Linked DNA regions of Struthio camelus. The protein of the gene in region 2 purifies or fractionates together with the protein of the main gene of each other region. This does not show direct contact. Links are inferred from orthologs where the notes say so. Each region holds a gene or a part of one and is shown on either strand. Other genes may lie near its edges.

Region 1 (3,910 bases), on a different chromosome or scaffold from region 2:
GACTTCAGTTTAGAGCTGCAACATGAGCTGTAATGACATTTGTCTTTTTTAAAGGTGAATCACAGTACTGCTCACCACTGGAAACAGAGCAGGAAGTATAGCAATATAGGAAACACTGTTTTTAATGAAATTTTACCTATTACAGCGAGCTTCTGCAAAAAACATTTGTTAAGGGTGCTGCCAATAAACTGAACTCTGTAACCACAGAAAAGCAATTTAGACAACATTGACAAGAATTAAATTCTCAGGCAAAAACATTCCAGATTTACAACATCAACAGTAAAGAAACACTTGCAGAGAAAAACCTCCGTTTCTTCATATAGACACAAACAGGAAAACTTTGCAGTATCATTATTTATACCAAACTCATTGCTGTCATAGCCGCATACATTTCCCACACGGGTCTTATTCATTAGAATTGGTAATCTTATTACATAATAAGACATAAAATTCCTTTTAAAAGCCACTTTTCTGAACAAGTTAAAAAAGAAACAACTAACACCTTATTCCCACAAACACATATTTACCTTCCACACTTCCATATTTCAAAGAAAGTAGAAGACAACTCTCCCCCTCTCCACGCTTGTAAACATGAAAGGACGACTCCAACTATTTGAACAATTAGCAGCTATGTTTTTTCAGCTAACGAATGAAGCAGGAAAACTGCCTTAGGCTAAACATGAGAATAAAGTGGTTATCCCATTCTCAATTCTGACAGACACTAAAGGCTCCAAATTGTAATTCAGTCTGCACAACTGCAATTCATTTTCTCCTATTCTATTAGGACACACTATTACATTGTACTTTTCCCTACTGTACATGTAATCCTATTGTACCTTTTACCAGCTTTAAAACAAGTAAGCCACACCTGTTTGCTGGGAAACTCCTTTCTTTGTGCAAGTCTCTCATTACAAAGGATCTTACAAGTACTTAAACAACCTGTGACTTCGGACTTTCTTTTCTCAGCAATCAGGTGCTCTTCCCCCCCCAGGAAAAGGCATACGCCTCGAGCTACTCCCAGGCAAGGGTAACCCCAGCAAGAGTCGCTATTTACGCCTAAACTGCCACTTCAAGCTCCCCTCGCCCTTGCCTGGGTAAAGCTCGCACTCAGGCGTGCTGCACCAGAGGGGGAGCCGAGGACGGCTTTGCCTCAGCGCCGGGCGGTGAGCGGGGTGGAGGGCCCTGCCCGGCAGCAGCCGACCAGCCGGCGCCGCGGGAGGGCGAGGAGACCCCGCAGAGCCGGTAACGGGCTCCGAGCGGCCGCCGCCGCCGCGGGGGTTGGGGCAGAGCGCGGCCGCCGAGGCCGAGCAGCGGCAGCCGGGCCCCGCGGCGGGGCAGGAGGCGGGCTACCGCCGCCGGAGGGGGGGCCGCGGCGGGCAGCGCGGCCGAAGGGAAGGAACGGGCCAGGCTCGGCCCAGCGCTTACCGGCTGCTGCAGCCGCCTCCCTGCTCCATCCCCGCCCGGCGCCGGCGCCAACCCCGCCGCCCCCTCGGCTCGGCGCTTCCGCTGCCGCTGCCGCTGCCGCTCCTTCCGCTTCCGGGGGCGGGGGGAGGCGGGGCGCGGCGGCGCAGGCGCAGAGCGGGCGGTGCCGGGGGCGGGGCGGGGCGGGGCGGGCTGGCGGGCGCGTGGCTGGAGTGGCGGTTGGAGGCGGCGGTTGGAAGCGGCGCGGGTCGGCGCGGCGCGGCGCGGCGCGGGTGAGGGGACGGGACGGGAGAGCGGGACGAAGCGGGAGGGGCTGTGCCGGGAAGCGGAGGCGAGCGGTGAGCAGGGCGGCGGCGGCGGCGGCGGCGGCGGCGGCGGCGGTGCGGGCCGGGCCGGGCCGGGCCGGGCCGGGCCGGGCCGGGGGGCGAGACTTGGGGCCGGCTGAAATGGAGTCGTTGGGGGCGGCGCGGGATGGGCAGGGGAAGAGAGAAAGGTGGAGAAGGCGCAACTGGGGCACGTGAAGCCGAGAGATTAAATTTACGTAGGTGTCGGGAAGAATCAGAGTTTTGGTAGCCGTAGCAAATACTTTTTTTTTTTTTTTGGTAAGGTGGGCAGTAAGATTTGGCAGGCAGGGATTTATTTGACTGATCCTGGGTTTATTAGTTCCAGGTTAGACTACAGTTGCACTCAGGATAAATTAGCAGACAAAATGAGTGTTAGCTTGTGAGCTTGTATATGTGCAAAATCAAACTGCTTAGATTTTCTGCTGGCAGAGGCACTAGTATTTGTGTTTCTTCGGAGCTGTCAAATGCTTCTTTCAGGCTTTGAAACAAGTATCTCCTTTTTGTTTTTCTAGGACTGTACTTGTGTGGGGAGGAAGAAGCTTGCCCCTATCTTTGCAGAAGCTCTTAACCACTCACCAAAATGGTAGTTTTCACATGCAGTGCATGTGGAGAGTCGGTGAAGAAAGCACAAGTTGAAAAACACGTGAACATTTGCAGAAACTGTCAGTGCCTTTCTTGCATGGATTGTGGCAAGGATTTCTGGTAGGTAAAGAAGGGGAAATAACCCTGCACGCTCAGCAGTGCTTGTCACAGTATAAAATTTTCCTATGACGTGTTAGAAATAAATGTATCAAATTTTGTGTAATTCAAATTTGAATTTAAAAGTATATCCATTTATTTGTATGATTTCAAGGTTAATCATCCAAGCATGAGCAAGGATTCTGCATTTTTTCTGCACTGGCAGAAAGATGTGCAGCAAAACTTGCATTTACTTTTCCAGAACTAAAGAGTAAGCAGCTTTTGACATCTTTCCCCATGGTATTTGGACATTGGTATAAGGCTGACAAAAATCATAACGATTTATGTTGCTGCTGGGAAAACTATAAGCAATAGATAAAGCAATCAGTGTTACTGCCTGAGTATACACATTTAAGACCTTTTCTGCAGACTCGATCCTGTTTCTGGACATTGCTAGATGCTACGTCATCCTTGCTTAAATATTATGTCACACAGGTAAATACTAAAATTTAAATCTTTTTGTGGTTTGGGAAATTGGAAATTTCCAAAACGTTGTATTGAGAAGCAGCTTGAACAGATGAGTGACTCCAGACCCTTTGAAGTTAGTAGCTGCTGTTTTTACCCATTGTAATTTGTGACCAAAGTAAGACCAAGACAATGTAAGCAGAGTTGCAGTTTCTTCTTTTACAGTTAAAAGTGACAGTACCTTCAGCTTCTGATCATCAACAACCATTATCTTTTCTGCTACTGCAGAGAGTGAGATTGGCTGTAGCTTCCAACTTTCTAAACATGGTTGTAATTTCTCTGAACTCAGAAGAAAGCAGTGCTACTATCTGCTTTCAAAATATGAATGTGTGAATTAATTTATGTAAGAAAATGAGATTATCCTGTGAAAGAATTATTATATTTCTCAGTAATTCACTAACAAAAGATTAGGATCTGTGTTGTGAATTCCTTTTTTGGAGGCACGTGTTGATCAGAAAAAGATCACTTAACTGTACAGTAGTACTGTATTACTGTATCTGTGTCTAGGAATTAGGCTTTCACAAGACTTATTAAATCTATTTTTCTAATTTTAAAATGTGTCTACTAATGTGAGCAGCAAAACACAAGCATCTGCTAATAACTTTTTCAAAGGTAAGCAAATATTACATGTACTAATGTGCAAAAGTTACAGACTGACAAATAAAAGCATCAGTATACTGAAGACTCAGATCTCATTTTGCCTATCAGAAATTTCCACTGAAGGGTGTAACACAATGAAATGTAAGCAGTCTTGTAAGCGTGTACTTTAAGCATGCTGAACTTTACTTATATAAGTGTGTTGACAGTATTGAGGCTTAAATATACATGATGACACCTATTACTTCGCCTGTTACTTCAGTTTCCTGATTACTGAAATACTTTAGTGAACTACAGTTAAAAATCTCTTATGTTCAGGGGTGACGATTATAAGGACCATGTGA
Region 2 (3,910 bases):
CAGTTATAAATAATTTAGCATTTGAAAAATATTCAAAATATAAACAGATCAAAACCCACTAAAGTAGGCCAGAAAGGAAACACACATTCTTCTCAGTACGTTATTTACTCTGAAAGCATTTTAAAAGGATATCTAAAAGTTTTCTTTCCAATACTGTTCTTTGCATTTATCTTTTCTGTATTACGAGGTATTAACACTATTTGTACATTTCTAAAGATTGCAACAAAAATTAAGTATCAGAAAACATTTCAGAAGCATTTTATTCATAGACCTATCTCTAAACTGTTTGTTTTCTCATAAATGTCAGAAAGCACTGTTCTGACATAACTGGGATCACCTTTCTTTGTGCTGAAATGCATGTTTTACCCTGTCCCTTTAAAAATACCTGTTTTCCGAGAAAGATGAACGAAGGTACGCAGCTGTATCACAGACCCAGAACTGTGACTGCAAACGCTCAAAATCTTGTTTTCATTTCTAGAGTAAAATAATCTAAGAGCAACTAATCCAGTTTGCTAAGTATCAAGCTACATTTCACAGGAACGAGGAAAATAGTGCAACTTAAAAACAAGTTAATATTTCTGTTTTCCGTGTTTAAAAAGATAATCAATAAGTGAGATTTTTAAAACAGTATTTAAATACACTCTTGGCAGAAATTTTGCATATCAGCTTCGTGAGAAAAAAGTTTTGTAGACTGGTTCACTGAAACGGAGGTACTATGGAATCACTCACTAGAAAGCTTAGGCATTATCTCTACCAAAATTAAACGTGTGCTACAAAACAGGTATCTTAATACATCTAAATACATCTTCCATGTGCATGGTCTAGAAACGAGAGGTTACCTCTATCCTAAAATAAGAGAAGAAGATACTCAATTAGTGATTTTTCACTCAAAATGTTTGGTTCATTTGCATTTATATTTCTTAACGTCCACTAAAGGTATTCAATATGGTGCTTTTCCTAATAACGCCTTTATTTTACCTTAAAAGAAGTATGTTTTACTGTACTTACATTTATTTTACTGTATATTGGTTTTACTGAGTACTAGGCAACAAATTTTAGAAGTACAAAGGAAAAGCGCAAGTGCAAGAATCTCAGGCAAAGAAGGACGCTTCTTAGCATAAGAGACGTTGTTCAGCACCAAGGAAGGGAAAGTAACCTGGATTCTAATTTCTGTTTATCACTTGAATATGTTTCAAGAGCTACAGTTTGTTTATAGAAGTCAAGCCCAAGTTTGTACTTCCAACAAAGGACAGTGTTCTAAATGCTATACTTTCTGACTTAAGGTTTCTTTTGATGTGTGGCCTATATGACTACAGAATTATATTTAAAAAATTTAGGATTTAAATTTTCATGTCAAGAAAATCTCAGACATCCAAATAAAACCCCCAAGAGAAATATACAAACTTACAAAAAAACAAAAAGACAAGCACAAAGTGGTTTGGACACTGACAGGAAAACCTACAGAAAATACTTACAGAGATATTTTTCAAGATGACTAGAGATTGCAGATTCCCAGTTCAAGAAACTTACAAGTGCTTTATACTCCCTAGGGTCTATCACCTATTTTTGTGGACGTTATTTTGGGGTAGAGGGGTGAGGCTAGGGAAAAGGAACCGAGATCATGGAGATGTCTGTAGCTGAGAAGCCAAAGTGACAAGTCCCACGGAAATCTTAGCCAAGAGTCACTTTCAGTATCCTAAAGTCACTATAAAAGCGGGATGGGGGGGGTTTCCATACAACTTCCCTGGAAAAAGGGAACCAAAGGGGGTGGGGGTTGAAACAACCCTGGAAAGTCTAAACAATAGAGTAGGTAACTGAAAATTACACAAAAACAGCCTGAGGTTAGGAAGATCTCGCAGACGGCACAGACCGATCTTCAAGAAAGTTTACCTACTCCCACGGGGAGCGAGAGATGATCCGATAAAGGCATCTGCGATGCTCACCTCCCCGGGGTGGGGGGGGGATCAATGAGGCACGGCGCCGCTTTGGGGAGAGGCTGCCGCGATTTCCCTCGCAGGAAGCCGGGTAGGGGCCCGCCGCAGCACCGGCGGGGCCTAACCCCCTCCGCCCACGGAAGGCCTACCCACGGGGGCTCGGTGGCACCGGAGCCTCCCCGGGGGGGGGGGCGGTCCCCCCTCTTCCTCGTTATGTTTTGGGGGAAACAGGACTCGCAGACAAGGGGGGGCGGATCCTTCAGAGAAGGAGGGAGCGGGCCGAGGCGGGCGGAGCGAGCTGCTGCCCGCCGCCCGCGGGGAGGCGGGTAACGGCACCGGGGGGGGCGGGGACCCCCTGAAGAGGCAGCGCGGGGCGCCGGGACCCTCCCGGGGGCGGGCGGCTCGGCTCGGCTCGGCCCGGCCCGGCGCGGGGAGCAGCGGCGGCCGCCGGCAGCGGGAGGTCAGGGCGCGCGGCCCGGCCGGAGGGCGGCGGGGGGCGAGCGGGCCGGGGAGCCGTGCCTACCCCGGGCGCGCGGCAAAGAGGCGGCTGGGCACTCGGTCGGTCACTCAGTCACTCACCCGTGCAGGCAGACGGGCAGGCGGGCGGGCGGGGAGAGGAGCAGCTCGGGGACACCCCCACCCCCCGTCACTGCCGGTCGCTCACGGCCGTTCGCCCGCCGGGACCTTCCCTTTCATTCGGGGCAGGGGACGCTGCGCCGCCGCCGCCGCCGCCGCCGCCGCCGCCGAGCGCAAGCACGCACGCACGCACGAGCGGACGCACGCACGCACGGGCCGACGCACGCACGCACGCACTCACGGCGCGCTCGGGCCGCGACGTCGCGACGCTGCGGGGCGGCGCCCGATTGGCGCGCGAGGCGGCGCGGCGGGAGCACGCCGGGCCCTGCGACCTTCTGCGCACGCGCGCCCCCTCCCTTTTTTTTCCGCGAGGCCGTGAGGCGAGGGGAGCGGGGAAACGGAAGAAGGCGGAGCGGGGCGATTCTGCGCGTGCGCAGCACTCTCCCGCAGCCGTTGGACGGCGGGGGGCGGGGGGCGCTGAGGCTGCGCAGAGCCCCAGGCGCGCGGCGAGGCGCCGGCGCAGTCTCATGGAGCGGCGGCGGCGCGCTGAGGAGGGCTGGCGCATGCGCGCGGCTCTCCGGCGCTCAGAGACCGCCATGGGGCGGTGGGCTCGACGGCAGCCGGCGCTGCCTCAGAGGCGGCCGCGGGCCGCTTGCCGGCTCGGCCCGGCTCCTGGGGAGGGAGCGGGAGGAGTTACGGTTCCCCTGGCCGCCCAGCTGCGAGCCCACACTGGCCAGCTGCGGCTTCTTGGTCAGAGCCCCTACGGGAGGACTTTGGGCCACCAAAGAATGGCCTGGCTGGGCTAAGCGTTGTGCTGAGGCAGCAGAGCAAGGCCTCAGCCAGAAGGCTTAGGGATGAGGTGGGAAAGCGCATTAACCAGTAATTGGCCAATAATTGCGTTTGGGAAAGGAGGGAGGGTTGTTGGCTAGGCTAGAGCACTTTCCTAAGAAAGAGTAGGACTGAAATGAGAGAACTGAGCAGGACAACGGGAGGTAAGTGAGGCGAGCGTGGAAAGAAGCTGAGGTACAGACAAGCCTCAGCGACCTGAACAAATCCCCGTGGGATGCTCCATATTAAAAACAGTCTCAACTGAAACAGAAAATTGTCACTGCACTGGCTGCTTCCACAATAACTCTAATCATATGCCTTTTCCCTACCTCTTACCAATACTATATAGCAGGGAGAGCTAAGCATCATTTTGATCCTAGCTTCCCAGTTAGGTTCATGCCTACACATATCCTGCTCTCAGAGGATCCTTAGGAAAGGTGGGGTGAAGGAAGAGTTGTGTGGCGACATCCATCCCTTTGCTGTCAGCCCAGAGAACTCTCAGGACTCTTCTCTCTTGATAGCTGCAGCAGTAAAATCATTCAAAACACTTACAGAAAATGGGCTGTCACTTT

What was found.
Region 1: the proteins of PHF6 (region 2) and LYAR purify together in Homo sapiens (affinity purification with mass spectrometry; 3 studies listed by BioGRID and IntAct, with this or other methods). This does not show direct contact. The link is inferred for Struthio camelus from reciprocal best matches to the Homo sapiens genes PHF6 and LYAR.

The regions. Positions count from the first base shown.
Region 1 is NC_090945.1:72,689,335-72,693,244, reverse strand, and holds the start of LYAR (cell growth-regulating nucleolar protein), read left to right. Parts: upstream 1-1,587; 5' UTR 1,588-1,694; exon of another isoform or gene 1,695-1,760; intron 1,761-2,278; 5' UTR 2,279-2,346; coding exon 2,347-2,468; intron 2,469-2,873; exon of another isoform or gene 2,874-2,901; coding exon of another isoform or gene 2,902-2,939; intron 2,940-3,884; coding exon 3,885-3,910. UniProt on the Homo sapiens protein: Plays a role in the maintenance of the appropriate processing of 47S/45S pre-rRNA to 32S/30S pre-rRNAs and their subsequent processing to produce 18S and 28S rRNAs. Also acts at the level of transcription regulation.
Region 2 is NC_090952.1:23,543,890-23,547,799, forward strand, and holds the start of PHF6 (PHD finger protein 6), read right to left. Parts: upstream 2,787-3,910; 5' UTR 2,514-2,786; intron 2,252-2,513; exon of another isoform or gene 1,476-2,251; intron 1-1,475.